Lepisosteus oculatus: one gene and its partner. The protein of the gene in region 1 binds, or shares a complex with, the protein of each later gene. Links are inferred from orthologs where the notes say so. Each region holds a gene or a part of one and is shown on either strand. Other genes may lie near its edges. The genes, in order: ripk2 and tumor necrosis factor receptor superfamily member 16.

Region 1 (7,807 bases):
GTCATTTTATTCCTCCCAGCCTTCCATTAATAACTTCAATTTGTTGAAAGCAAAATGAGTACGGTGGAGAGATACTCTCCAATGGGGACAGTGACAGACTGAGGAAGATTGCTAAAGGTACTGTCTATTCCACTTATCTTAAATTCGAAATCCAAAGTAGCACTGACCTGGCTTCATAAAATGCAAATAACCTGCTGACAATTACTGATAACATAAATTAATGAATATATAATGCTGCTTGAAAGTTTGTGAACCCCTAGTGCAACTTTTTAAATGTTACATTTTTACTATGAAATCCTCATTTAATCAAAACTAGTCCTTACTTGATGCATGTAATAGAAAAAAAAATAGGTAGATACGAATTACTGCATGTGCAAAAGTAAGCGGAGGTTCATTAGCTCAGTTATCAAGGTAAGAATAATAAATAATTAGGTACCAATTTAAACAATCAAAAAGTCAATCACCAGGACAAAGTTTGGGAGGCCTTCTATTATACAAAAGTAAGAAACCTATTAAATTTGGTCTTACCCATACTCACTACCCATGAGGTCTCTTTAGATCATGGTATTTTGTATTATACTAAACTTAGTGAAATACACCATGACATGATCTAAAGAGACCTCATACGACTTCAGTAAGAGTTTTGTTAGAGCTCAATAGTCTCAAGAGGGTTATAAAACCATAGCAATTTCATCAGTCAACTGTAAGACTAATAATCTACAAATGGAGGACATTTAAAACCATGGTGACTCCACCTAGATGTAAACACTACCTAGATGTGAACGTTCTTTAAACTGACCACACAGAGTAACAAGACATACATCATACATCATACAGGAAAAGCACCCCAGGAACACATCCAAGGATCTCCAGACCTCTCCTGCTGCGGATGATGTCCATGTTCATTCCTCAACAATACAACATGAGCTGAATAGCAATGGCATTCATCGGAAGGAAGCCAACAGAAAACCTCTGCTCTCAAAAAAAGAACATAGCTGTGTGTCTTTGAAAAGACCGTCTGAATGACCCTGTAGATTTTTCAAAGAATGGTCTCTAGATGGATGAGTCTAAAATTAATCTTTTCGGCTGCAACAAAAAATGCTTTGTTTAGCAAAGACTTACCACCAAAAAAACCTTATCCGTGCTGGTAGGAGTGTCATGGTTTTAGGCTGCTTTTCTGCCCATGAACCAGGATGGCCCACGATCACTAAAGGAACTATGAAGTCAGTCATACCAAAATATTGATAATATGATATGAGTTGAAGTTGAGCTGAAAAAAGGGTCCAATGACATGACAATAACCCTAACATTTCAGGAAATCTACCAAAGAATACATTAAGAAGACCTTTTGTTTTGAAATGGCGGAGTCAGATGCAGATGTAACAGATGCATTAGTAACTATAGGAAACATTTGGTGACTGTCATAGCTGTTAAAGGCTGTTAAAGGATGTGCCACTGCTTATTGAATTAATTTTGCACACAGGAATCACTTAGTTTCTGTTAAATAAACATTTAATAGATAATGAAACGATATATATATGTGTGTCCATTATTTTGGGTATTGTCATTAAATATTGGAGTTCAGATATAACATTTTAAAGATAATTTGGGTAAAACGTATGAAAGTTGAAGGGTTCACATACTTTCAAGCAGCACTGTATTTCAAAGAACTATTAATGCTACTTTAGAATATGTCTTTCTTTAATACTGTTACTATTCACAGAATGAATTGTAAATGAAAGTTTAAATGGATTAAACCAATTTTCGCTGCCTAAACGGGCAACTAACTCTGATGACTATCAGACAACAGTAGAACTTTGTCGATCGAACTGACAGCCAACAACTGGACGCACGTGCGCAGCGTGACTGGTCTGCTAGTCACTGTCTTTAAACTGAAGACAAACGTTTTCTCGCTTTTACACCAATCTTATCCTAGACCACGGACCTCCGAGCATCCTGCACCAGTAGTGTTTTCCTCCTTTTTGAGAAATCAGATCTGAACTCACTGCCTGCTAGATAACTGGAGGTCTAGATGGGCTAGAAACGTTATTCACCACATACTGTAGCCTCCAAACATTTAGAGAATTTTTACACGAATTACTGTGTTTCCGTATCAATAAAAAATATGTGAAATATTACAAAAAATCTCAAGAAGCAGTGACTGTCAAATAGGTACAACTATTGACAAGAAAGACATAAGAAACACGAATCAACTTCGCAAGAAAAAAAATGTTTTAAGTCGACAGTGGCGAAAACATACTGGTCAAATTAAGGCCACTTCAAAAGCCATACCGTCGAAACCATCTCAATAGCCTAATATAGCATTTGTTTTTCTGCTTACATAGTTCGTGTTGTTTTCCCCAAGCTCACGACTCGGTTAACCCACCTTTCTCCAACCGGGGAGTCCAGCTGGAGGCACTTGATGGCCACGGTGGTTCTCCAGTCAGAGTGCTGGGCTCTAAACACGGTGCCGAAGCCGCCTCGGCTCAAGTAATGCAAGTCCGTCAGTTTCTGATAGGGGATGACCGGCAAAGTGCTGGTCAGGCTGCAAATATTAACGCAGCCCGAATGCTCCATGGTAGTAATAATAATATTTAAATGCAAAGGCCTCAAAAAAGGGAGGGCAATCCAGTAAGGAGAAGCGGAATTGAAAACTACAGTACAAAGCCGAGTATGAAATCGTAACCTCAGACAAAAATACTAATACGTTTTAGTTATAGTAAACTACCAAGAAAAAATCAGTCCAACTCCACTAATTAATACAGTGATGAATAAAAACCAAATTAAAATAAGCAGACGTCGCAGAAACAGAATATTTTCCCCATTTCCGCCAGGTCTTCTTATTACCGTCAAGGCAATCAGGTGTGAGGTGCAAATCCCGAAGTGGTCGTATCTTCAGCGGAAAAAGTAATGAAATCGGCAGACATGGTCGGGGGGTTGTGGTGTTTTATATTTATTTTACCCCTATGTTTTCTGCGGCGAACGATGTTAACCGATTTATTGCGTTTTTGCGCCTTCGCGATGTGTATTTCTAAACCACACACACCGCGTCATACAAAATATGCCTCCCAGCTGCTTGGACGAATGTATTATACAGCTTAAGGCTGCATAGTTGTCCTACAGGTTATTTCCTAAGCAAGTATCTTCCGGGTTTGACAATGTAAAAATTACCGTACAATCGAGAAACCATCACGCAATACCTTGCGTCGATATATTCAGATTCTCGACTTATGCCCACTGAAAAGCAGAATTTTATCTCATTTTACCGAGTTTCAGCACATGCCATGAAACGCACTGTTGCTATTTCGGCAAAAAGGATAAACAGCACTAAAGAGGGTTTTGGTTTGCAGGCGCTATATCATCATAACCGACTTTCCTGACACGACAGTTTCAACGCTTGATTTTATATGGTGCGTGTCTTCTCCTCTCATCTTGTTTCCAGTATGTGTCATGTGAGAAGAGTTAATTTATATGCTCATTTTTACAATATCGAAGTGGTTTCATTACAGCGAGACTGTCATCCCACTTAGGTCAAACTCGTACAGTAGTTTCCAAATCTCACGAACAGCCGTACAGTACATTTTGTCACTTAGAAGAGACGGCACTAGATTATTTTATTCTATAAGGGTTTTATAACTAGACCGTTAATTTACAATCGGCACATTTTATTCAGCATAATTTTACATCCTTCACATGAAGCAGACCGCCAGCACATTACAGCACCCGCTCATTTGCAGGATCTCACGGCAGCCCTGTCTTGTGACCGAGAGTTCAGACAGCTTGTTCCGGTGTTACGATGCCAGCGTGTTGTGATGCAAAACAGCTCTTAGAGCTGGGTAATAGGATACAGTGGTTTTTGGTGTAGGCCTGCTTTATTACGTACAGTATATTGATGGAACTTAAAAAAATAATTATTTAAGTGCCTTTTTTATAAAATCGTTTTCTTGAACTGCAGATATACAAACCCTGAGGTTGTAAAACGGGAGATGGAACTTGTTTTTTTTTTCTTTAAACGGGCTGACATATTGCACAACATTACGTATGATATTTGGGAAATTCCAACTTTCGACTTTACTGACGTTAGAGTGTATAATTAGTATATTTAAATGCTGCCACGAGAGGGATTTCCATTCACTAGATCGTCTGCGTGTGTGATTTATACATATACCCCGAGCACACATTTATCGTACACCCATTGCACTATCCGTTCTGAATATGTTTATGCCATACACTGTATGGTTAAATTTGGATATGATAGAATCACCGAAACAACGCTCGAACATCGCTAATACATTTTTAATTTTATGAAATGGTCCTTGTAGACTAGTTCAGTTTTTTTTTCTGAATAGGTGCTTGATTTAATAAATACTCATGGCACAGAAGATAAAATGTTCTACAGCGCTCGGGTCCTAGGTTGACTTGCAAGTTGCAGACCTGGGGTACTATCTGCGTGGAGTTTGTATATTCTCCCTGTGCACGCATGGCTTTGAGTCTGTGTATGTCCTGCCTTTCACCTGTTGCGTGCAGTATATGCAAATGATACAAATGGTAAGAAAAACATTAGAAACAAGACCACAATTTATTTAGCTGCTAGAAGCTATTTAACCCAAATCACATCCAGTCTATTCTTGAAAAATGTCAGGGGCTTTAACAGCGTGGAACATACTTGTTCAAACTTCCACAAGGTACAGATTTCTACAAGGAGTGATCCTCATTCCTGGTTCTAGGAAATATCAGACCACCAGGATTTATACAGTGGATTACATGATTTTTCAATTTAATTCAAAGAGTGGATTTCAAAGGAATGACAGAAATTGCTAAAGCAATATGAATGGACAATTTCTTTTTGAACACAAACATTACAAATGTTAGAAAACTATAACAATGCAAACCACAGTATGGGGTTGAGGGGTGGAATGAAAAATAAATAAGCTAAAATGTGAATCATAATCCTCAATGAATAAAGACATGGTAACAGTAGAAGTATATATATTGATTGTATAGCCCAATTAAGTGGGGAGTTTATTACAATCAAATCACTAAGAGTTCAGGGAGAACCAAATACCAGAAGGCATGGCAGAAGTTACCAGTGTTGTATACTTTGATCCCGAAGTGTTTCTTTGGTGAGGTGTGACCGATGCCAACACCGGTGTGTCTTCCGAGGAGTCCAGGTCCAGACAGAAATTGGTTCTCTCCGTTCCTGGGCTTTATGACTGTTGGCCTGATAAAGCCTCTCATGCTGGGGTTCCCAATCCTGGTCCTGGGGGGCTGGTTTTCTAGAGGTCTTCAGTTCAGTTGTGCTTGGAATGACCTGAATCAGCTTATTAGTGGCTTAATTGGACCGTTATAACAGCTACTCCCAGAACTCCAGGTGCTGCTGCTTTAAGACCTAATAAACCCATAGAGACATTCTCCCTTCAGGACCAGGACTGGCAACCCCTTGCTCTCCTTGGTTTTGCCTTTTTGTCAATCACAATCTTTGTTTTTTCACTTTTTTTCCCCCCATTTTTATTAAGTGGGGAGGAGGCTGCACAGTGGCACAGTGGTTAACATCGCTGCACTGGGGGCCCTAAATTCAATTCCAGATCTAAGCTGCTATCTGTGTGGAGTTTGTATGATCTCTCTGTGATTGTGTGGGCTTCCTCCGTGTGCTCTGTTTCTGTTACCTCCCACAGTACAACACATACTAATAAGTTAATTGGTTTCTGGGAAAAATTGGCCCTGGTCCACATGTGTATTTGTCTGTGTTTGTGTCTTTGTGCAACCATTGCTTGCTGGGATAGGTTTTGGCTCCCCCATGACCCTGAAATGGATGAAGAAAATGGATGGATAGATAGAAAAAGTTAATAAAAAATAAAATGTTTGTTGTGGGTACAGCAAGGTTGGTTTTGTTCTGTTGGTTTTGTCACTTCTGTTTTCTGTTTAAAATGATACTGTATTATTTGAATGATGGGACCCACTAGGGACAATTCCTCACTGAATTGAATTTTAAATATATGTAATACTGTATGTAATTTTCTGTAGAAACTATAAAGGTTACATTCTTTAAACTGGAAATTCCTTATACAATGGAGCCTTCAGATGAGAGGAACAGAGAAGCTGGACTCTGTTCAATGGCCCCACCCTGTGGTAGGCTTTGTATTATACACTAAAATATATAAATATATGTTATAGTTCCACTTGTGTGCGTGACAAATTTCGTTGCTCCCACAGTGTTCTTTTATCAGTTCTTTAGATGGGTCAACAACATTCATAATAGTTCTTCACACAGCAAACTATGGTGATATTATGTTGATAGGTTCTGTGTAGGTGTTTCCCGAAAGCTTTAAACTGAATTTGAATAGCGTTGAATGCTGGTTTCTTTTCTAAATCTTAATTTTTTCAAAATTTATGAATAATTTCAATGACAAGAAAGCTAAAACTGTGAGGTGCTTTTTCACTCCTGTGAGGAAGCTAAGGGATTTCATTATTTTTCACAGAGTTACAGAGGTTTATACTGAGGTTACCAATACGATTGCAGCTACATGAAACAGACTGTCAGGAAAGAGAGTAGACGCCACATTTCATTTAATCAGCCTGTATCAGATCTATTTATGTTTTGTAACAGTTTTGTTACAGTGGCAGTACATGAGTGTTAGTAATTAAATATTAGGAAAAATAAGGAAGAACATTGCATGGAATGTAACAAGATTCATTTTTTCTTTAGTAATTTATGTTGCTACCCTTGAAAAAATCATTTTTCATTTTTACTATTTATATGTTTAAACTAGTTTGCTCTGAGCTGTATTTTTCTTTTCCAGGGCACAGCACAAACACTTGTTGGCTGAATTTTTCTGAGGTGGCTCACTGTACATATGTACAACATCCCTCTACCAGAGCTTTGCTGTACTCACCAGAATACCAAGAGGCTGATGTTCGGGTCTTTGTTTGTTTAAAGAAACACATTTACAATGGTTGCAGTTACATTTTGTTTTCAAAACACTATTTTTGTAATCAGTCCACTTTGTTCTTTTTCTTGTACATTTGCTTTATTTTGTCCAGAATGATTGTCCAATAGTTATGAAACATTCTAATAGAATTAGTTTAAGCCACATTAACTGCTTCATCATCACTTGAAGCTTAATTGCACTATCTGTAACTGCATCATGCTAATATAATCAGAAACAAAGCCTTTAAAAGCACTACAGACTGCCTGTTAATGCAAAAATAACAAGGCTCCTTTCTGTAGCCTTCTGAACCAGAGTATGGAATAAAGGTTTGTACTATTTTTGAAAAACTGATTAATTTAAACATGAAATTATAATGAAACTTCTTTTACCTTAAAGTTTCCTTTGGCTAATAACCCATCCATTTGCCCAAGCCTTTTGCCTTGTGTTTCAAGGTCATCCCCTAGGTCAGAGCAACATTCTTGAGAATTTCATTGAACAGAGCACTTTTCAACAAGATACAGAAGTGTATTCAGAAGTATACTGACTGTGGTTTCTCAAGGTGCGAATAGCACTTGAAGCTTTCTTGGGAAAGTATCATTTTCAATTGAATATTTCTGTACTGCTTCTGCTTTGATCTTAACTGAATTACAGTACATCTGGTACTACTGCAATCACTATCGACAATAACAATAATAACAACAATAACTCTCCATAAAACTATTATAGAATAGATTAGCAGCTAGCCAGATATAGAAAGTCTGATTTTAAAAGGGGAATCTTGAGCATGAACTTGAGTCTCTCACATTCTCATCCCTCAGCGGCCCAGGAAGGATAAAAGGTTGCACTCTGTATCTGTGATTTTGTGCACTGAAGCGGAA
Region 2 (7,368 bases), on another chromosome or scaffold:
CTACCCAGTCATTATTGAAGCAAATGTCTTGGCTTCTTTCAAGAATCAACTGGATAAGATGGAATCAAACCGCTACCTACTATACAACCAAACTAGTTGAATCACAAGCTCCTCACATGCATTTTTATAGCTTTATATTTCAGTTACATTAAATTAAATTAAAATGTCCCAACCCTATTCAATTTATCATAATACCTCGAAAAGCTATTGCTTGTGTTTCAATATTTGGGTATATATGTCTTGTAGTTATGAGGATAGCCTCTACTATACTGCTGATAAAGCACTGCGATATATAAATTGAAAAAAATGAGTTGTCTCGCATGTGTTAAAATCAAAATCAGGAAAGAAAATGTAGCATGAGCACGTAAGCAGCTTCGTAGGAACCGAATACATTTTGTATTTATTTAACAAAAGACACATTTGACCGTTTAATTTTGGTTAATCCATCCGGATTGAAATTGTTGCGGATTTATCTCGTCTCGAATGGTATTCTAAGACCTTATTAGCCGGAGGGTACTTTCTCTCCCGAAACCATCAGATCCTTACATCTGCTTTATTGGTTGTTTGTTTCGCAGATAATACGCAACACGTCAGAAATGTCTAATGTTCAAACTGAAGACTTAAGGAATGGCACAATCACGCCTGCGATGACACTGATCCTTTAATCTTTACAAAAGGGAGCTACTGTACTTGTTAGTAATCTACAGGAATCTCTCCTGTATCCCCCTGGCTGTCATCTTCTTTCATAAGTGCGAGGCCATCGCGTTCCCCCTTCTTTTATGCGGTGAAGACACCTTACCTTTACTCTGGGGCAACCTAAGCGTTTCATGGGTGTGTGTGTGGAGGTGGGGTAGAAGAATGAATATAAATGACGTTATCGACCCAATTAGACCTACTGTAATATACTGCATCTAATTGGAAAACTGGGTTTGTTCGATTTAGCCAGGACGCCAATATTAACAGGCTTCCGTGAAGTCTAATCTGAAGAATGCAATATTAATTTCTCTCTACCGGCGACCTTTTTAAACAACGCCACCCTCAGCCAAGTGTGTTGCGCTAAAGGTCACAGTGGAAACTGTTTTCGTGACAGATTTACCAAAAATACTGAGCAACGGTTTGGCATATCTGATCCAGTGTGGGCAGGAGATCATATGAGCGTTTCCTCTACGAGAAATGCAAAAAGAGATTATCTGATCCCTAGCACTCACTCTGTGAAAATGGTACGGTATGTCTCTGCAGGCCGAACTGGTTTTGATTGCTTACAGCCTTTTAAAGCCCTGGAACTGGATAATAATATGTTTCCTCACTTTAAAACTTCGACTTCAAATGAGTTACCTGTCTGATGGAAGACTCAAACTCGTTTTCTAGTTGACCTCTGACAAGTGGTGTCAGAACAAACAATTGACTACTGCAGGATAATATATTGTGGTTTACCTTTACGATCAGTTCTGCAACCCTGTAATAAATATACACCTTTATTCGTGTGGGTACAGTCAATGGATAGCATGCGCTATCAGTTTCTTTTAATCTCAGAGAAAACTTAAAACCTCATCACGTCTCAGAGCGTCCTGGGTTGTACAACGCCATTGGGGTTATAATATTGATTACAAAACGAGACAAATGTCTTACAGTTTTTAAGAGTTCACTATAATACAAGCTTGGTTTCCAGCTATCCAGTTTTTCAGCACACTTTTAACGAGGCCACATAATTTTCTGACAACCACTCAACGTGCGACAATATGTATCATCATAAATGATGCCTCTGCAAATGCTCTGATTGCGGAGAAAAGCTGCAAGTTGTCTGAAAAGGCATAAGGCATAACGAGGGTCTCCATGGGAGAGCTGGCGGGTCTGAAGCTGAGCCCCAGCACGGGTTCCGAGCGACGCGCTCAACACGAAGCAGCGTGGCCAGGCAAGCAGGCAGCGCTGTGTATTTGTGGTCTATTCAGGGAGACTAATTGTCTTTGGTAGCAGGCAGCCAACCAGATGATTTCGTTTCTAAGTGGAGGCTTCACTTAAGGTTAGCCCCACACATTAGCGCTGCGCTGTAAAGAGCTGCCCTAAAAGCCGCTGGTTACTTTGCTTACAGTTTAATGCGATTTAAATAATTCAGAGACGTGCATGAGGCAGCTCCGCTCAGAAACAGCGGTGCACAGCTGTACAGTGTATTGCTTCAGACTATACCGCAAAACAATCTTCGTTATTATTTTTAGCATTGTTATCCTCGTACTGGAGATGTACCAATCTAAAACATCCCAACAGATGTTCCCCACTTCAGACAACTGTGCCTCATTCTGCCGCGGTGCGTTGAGGTTTTACCGATTCATCCCGTTTAGAAAAGCATGCCTCGACACAGCGAAAAACGGAAATAACAAACTCGCACGCCCATTTAAACATTTTCTCACCTGTTGTGTGGGAGAGCTGACTCAAAACATTGAGGCACCTGCCTGTCAAATTATTCTGGACATAATTGCGAAACATCACCCCGGGCGGTCTGTCGACCCGCAGGGTGCCTGGTGCGAGAAAGAGCGAGTCTTAGTGACTCCCGAAACAGTGCCTGGCTCTTGACATTGCGCTGTCAGTGCACTGGAGCCCGTATCAAAAACAGCCTCTGTCACTGGGCAGGCAGGCACCTCCTGCCGCGGCGCACAGCACACTGGCCCAGTACCTTCGCTAACTAAAGAGGCTCTGCCACTTCCCTGGCGAGCCAACAACCGCTCAGAAACTGCAAGGAAGAAGCAAACGCGCACTCACCGCTCCCAGAAGAACTACCAACATCGCGCTACCCATGATCTTCCCCGGCACGGCTTCAACGGCGGACTTGGTTCTTATTAGCAATAAAATATCAGTATCCTTTTACGAAAAAAAAAAGTTTATTATGAATATATTCGCTGGAATGTGTTCTTTATCGTCCTCCTCTCCCCGGCTTGTCGGTCGATAGCAGTCCTCGGTGATTCCCTTCACATCCCAAGTGCCGGACCTTTGGGAATCTAGCGACAGGCTGGCAGGTAGGAGAGGAGACTCTGCGCGTTTGGGCTGAGACGTGGCCGAGCTCTTGCTTTCATAGCGGCGAGCCGCCTCTCACGGGTTGTGCTTGGGACCAATGCGAGTCACTCCCCCTTTCGCTTGATCTGACAGCACACAAGCAGTTGTCTCCCCTTCTGTTTCGTTCAGTTCCGAGAGCGAGCATCCTACACAGCCGCAGGAAAGAGCCCGGTAATGGATTGGTTAATAATACAATCAAGAATATGCTGGAGTATGACACTTTCTCCGTACAAAAGTAATTGTCTTTTCTGTTTTTGCTTAGTTGTTTTTTTTTAATTGCATTTTTGACGGTCTGTCTCATCTGAGCCGTATGTCAGCTAAGTCTAATTTAAAATATCACTCAGATATAAACTGTTCCAACACCCATGTAATTATGAAGCACACCGAGAATCAGTTTGAAGTCATTGGTTTACAAAATGCACGTAAGTAACGACTACAATGTAATGTTCAGGTACATTCAGAAGTGCACCTTACCGCGAAGAGGTATTTACATCAGAGCGAGAGAGCACGTTGTGTAACCATAAAGCGGATCACAAGGGGGCGACAAACCATGCAAAACACTCGTGCGATTCAGAGGTGGATCTTTGCTGTCATTGCAGTCCAGTTGTTTCAACGCAATTTACGTAAAAGCCGGCAAGATCAGAAAGAACCATGATAAAAAACAGTGCAGCAAAGAAGTGTTTGTTATTCTAAAAAAGCCCCCTTCTCATTTCCACTTCTGATTATGTCCCAAAACTGTCTATAATTCTTCCCTGGTACTCCTGTGGATTTTATATAATTTATACAGTACTGTATATGTATATATTCACTCCCTTCCCATTTTGTTATAAATTTATATATTTATTGACTTCGTCCATAGTATCTTACTTTTGAACTGATTTATCCAGCTTGGAGTGGTCAGCACTGCTGCCCCACTGCACTGGAACTGTAGGTTCAATCTGAGGGGTGCTGTCTTTGTGCAGGTTGTTAGCCCTGTGTTTCTAGGGGTTTCCTACAGCTGCTCCGGTTTCCTCCCACAGTCCAAAGACATACTGGCAGGTTAACTGGCGTCCGTGTGTGCGTGTGTGTAGCTGTGTCACAATACAGGACCCTGTACTTCAGGTTGAGCACCTTGCTCAAGGGACAATTGCAGTGTCTCACCTGGGATGTGAGCGCACAACCTTCTCGTTACAAGCCCAGATCCCTAACCACACCTCTACCACTTGTTGAGCTCCTAAATAATGTTTTGTTCTGAATAACCTCGTTTTACATTCACCTTGAGCCTCATTGTAAAGAAAAGCGCTTTGTTCAGCACCTCTATTGAAACTCTGCCTGTCACCACTACTTACAAACACAGGTTGATGCAACTTGTCAATCAAATTGCTCAACGCAGAGCTACTAGTTTCAGTTTTTGTTGCCTAGAAAACACTTGCGAGACTTTGGCCTCACTGCAAGCGGGCATCAGTTGAGAGGAAAATGCAGGAGAGCAGGAGTATTTAATCTGGGCACCTGGATTCAATTCCCTCTAGCCACTCGCCATTCTGTATTACTCAGGTTAAGAGCACAAGCTGTGAGAGATGACATTACGTTGCTTTGTACCCTGCAGTAATTTAAACACTGAATTTATCCTTCATTAACCCAGATCAGAGCAGGTCAATTTGATTGTTTAAGATTAGCAAGGGCAAAGACTTGCAGTGACAGGGAATCAAGGTTCCCCAAACCTTGTCCTGGGGGACTGCTGTTTCCACTGTCTTTCAGTCCAGCTTGGATGTCCGCAGACAGAATGAGCTCTTTATTGGATTAATATGACCAATAATGAGCTTGTCCCATCTCTTCAGGATTCTGGTGCTTTAAAGAGAAATGAATAACCTCCAGACCCCTGGCTTGAGGAATGCAGCCCATGTTCAATTTCAGCAGCTAACAGCTGAAAAAGGATAAGGGGCCACAAGTGAAAATGTACATGACTGGAAATGGAAGCACTTACTGATGGGAACATCAGGAATCCTGTGATGGTTAGACTTGACTAAAATCTGTATTATAGATGCTTCCAAGGAATGTCAGACATTTTTATTAGTACCAGTCTAGTATCTAATTACCTTCATATGAAATACATGGAAAAGATTCATAGATGAATAGTCCTATGTATCTGCAGAGCTCAATAAAGGACAATGAGTGATATCAAAATAAGTATGCAAAAGATTTTGGCTGCAGCCAATCAGAAACAAAGAGCAGAAGCACACACCCCCTACTGTTCTCCAGCCACACTGCAGAGATACAGGTACACCCCCTCATTTGAAAAGACATGACAAAGCTCCTTTAGCTTTGAGGAAGTCAACCTGAGATCTTTTTCACAAGAGCTCTGATTACAGGGGCCGGCGACCGTGTGTTCTAAAATGTTATTCCATTGATTCCTGCCTGGGTCGATGAGCCCACATCCTACAGCTGCTGAAGGCCTTAATTGATGAGGGTCTTTTAGAGGTCATTAGAGGTCATCTATTCATTTAAGCTTTTTGTGTGAGTCTGAATATCAGGAATGTTTTTACCCTTACATGTGCACATGCACACATGAAATTTTGTATGTTAGGCTGTGTCTACATTCACACAGAAAGGTATGTAATCCGCATGTACACAATTAAGCACAAAGACACATTATCCCACAAAAGAATGCCTCTCTTCTCAGACACAAGAATGAAACTTGTAACATGCAGGTCTCCAAAGGTCACCACAGTGAATACCCTCTACACATAAACTTCGACAGACATTGGATAAGCGCTCTGGGACTAAGACCTCCTTACATGGGTCACTATATACTGTATAAGTTACTGTAACTCAGGTTGTGGTGTAAACTGGGCATCAGATTGCAGATGGCAGTGGTGAGTTTTTGTTTCTTTTTTGGCATGTTGCCTTTTACGTTTACACAATACTGTATCCCAGAGCACAGTTTTGAGTCATTTAAAAATTGGTGTTTTGCTCAAGAATTGCATTCAGTACTGAGAGCAGCAGGTGAGAATTTTAATGTCTAAATGAGAGCCAGCCATGATTGAAAACTGATGTTACCAAGTAAAGATAACAGAAACCCAGAGCCTATCCTGTAAGACCAGAAGCACCAGTCCATCACAGGACAGACACAGATCATACAGAGAAAGTGATTCACTCAGCCAGCCTGTCTTTGGAAGCCAGGCTAAATTGGAGCTTTTGATGAAAACCCATTCAGACTCCAGATAGAAGGAGTCCATTCCAGAACCCAGTCTGTGTCTCAAGAGTTGTGAGGCAGAAGTACAAGCCAGCATGCCAGTACAACACCTAGAAAAGTAAAATTCATCATTCATTTTAACCCTTCACCTCCAGAACGCAATACTTTGCAAATGCAACACAGGGTATGAATCAATAAAGAAACCCTTAGTAATTATTAACATATTTGATGGGGTTCCCATAAAAAATACTAAAAAAGACACCTGTTTTGCAAATTGGCCGTACTTGTCCCATTATTTCAAAGTGTTGTTTCAGCATGATATACCATAGTATCCCTTTGCCACAGTAGTAAAAAAAAACTTAAATATTTGCTTTTGCACAGAAAATGTCCCTCTTGTTGTGTGTATCTTACACCTTAGAACAGTGAAAGTTTTCTGTTCTAAATGCAAAGAACAAAAGCAGTTTGCTTAGCATTTACAGTGTACTGGCTTGGAGTGGTATGGAGTAACTAAATTAGATCTTTGAATTCAAACAGCAATAATACAACATGACTAATGATGATCATTAGTTTGATCTGAGTAATTATTTGCTTTAAATTAACCAATGCTCAGCTCCAGTGTTTTCCACATATAATTTTCAATTCCATGCCGATGTGCTGTCAGATCAATGATAAAGCAATCTGTAATGATCTAGCCCTGACGACACAGAGGTACTGCTGCACTCGGTATATTAAGGATTAACAGTAGTAATAATGAGAAATGACTGGTGTCCAAATGCCAGCAAGTACAGTATGGTTTCCCACCTACTGCACAAATTTATACTTTACCTCAAAGAGATCAATGTTAATGGAATCTAACTCTCTGAGATGACGAGCCTCTGATGACAAAAATCCCGGGCTTGCACATTCCTAACTGTAGCTGAGCACATACAGTACCTGTCATATTGATTGACTGCCTCTCCTGCTGCATTAGACAAACTGGCATTTTCAGAAGTTACATTGAACCTAATCACATTAATTCACTATGACCTATCACAGGAAAACTGGGAAGATTCCTGCTGCAAAACAGTTGGATCAGTTTAAGGTTTTACCAGGTATGGGACAAATTGGACAAATTGTCTTTCGTAATAAAAATAATAATTTCTTTAATAATG

The links.
Region 2: the proteins of ripk2 (region 1) and tumor necrosis factor receptor superfamily member 16 are in contact, whole or in part, in an NMR structure (PDB 2N83), measured with the Homo sapiens proteins. The link is inferred for Lepisosteus oculatus from reciprocal best matches to the Homo sapiens genes RIPK2 and NGFR. Residues at the interface, in NP_003812.1 of Homo sapiens: Gln437, Ser465, Arg466, Asp467, Leu468, Met470, Glu472, Asp495, Ile496, Gln497, Gly498, Glu499, Glu500, Lys503, Ile523, Leu524, Val526, Ser527, Arg528, Ser529, Pro530, Ser531, Leu532, Asn533, Leu534, Gln536; in NP_002498.1 of Homo sapiens: Gly334, Leu335, Ser338, Leu339, Pro340, Lys343, Val347, Ser354, Ala355, Asp357, Arg360, His361, Gly364, Glu365, Tyr368, Pro370, Ile373, Asp374, Leu398, Asp399, Leu401, Leu402, Arg406, Arg407, Ile408, Gln409, Arg410, Ala411, Asp412, Val414.

What each region holds. Positions count from the first base shown.
Region 1 is NC_090701.1:25,469,236-25,477,042, forward strand, and holds the start of ripk2 (receptor-interacting serine/threonine-protein kinase 2), read right to left. Parts: upstream 3,213-7,807; 5' UTR 2,578-3,212; coding exon 2,387-2,577; intron 1-2,386.
Region 2 is NC_090723.1:1,253,443-1,260,810, reverse strand, and holds the start of tumor necrosis factor receptor superfamily member 16, read right to left. Parts: upstream 3,096-7,368; 5' UTR 2,791-3,095; coding exon 2,755-2,790; intron 1-2,754. UniProt on the Homo sapiens protein: Low affinity receptor which can bind to NGF, BDNF, NTF3, and NTF4. Forms a heterodimeric receptor with SORCS2 that binds the precursor forms of NGF, BDNF and NTF3 with high affinity, and has much lower affinity for mature NGF and BDNF.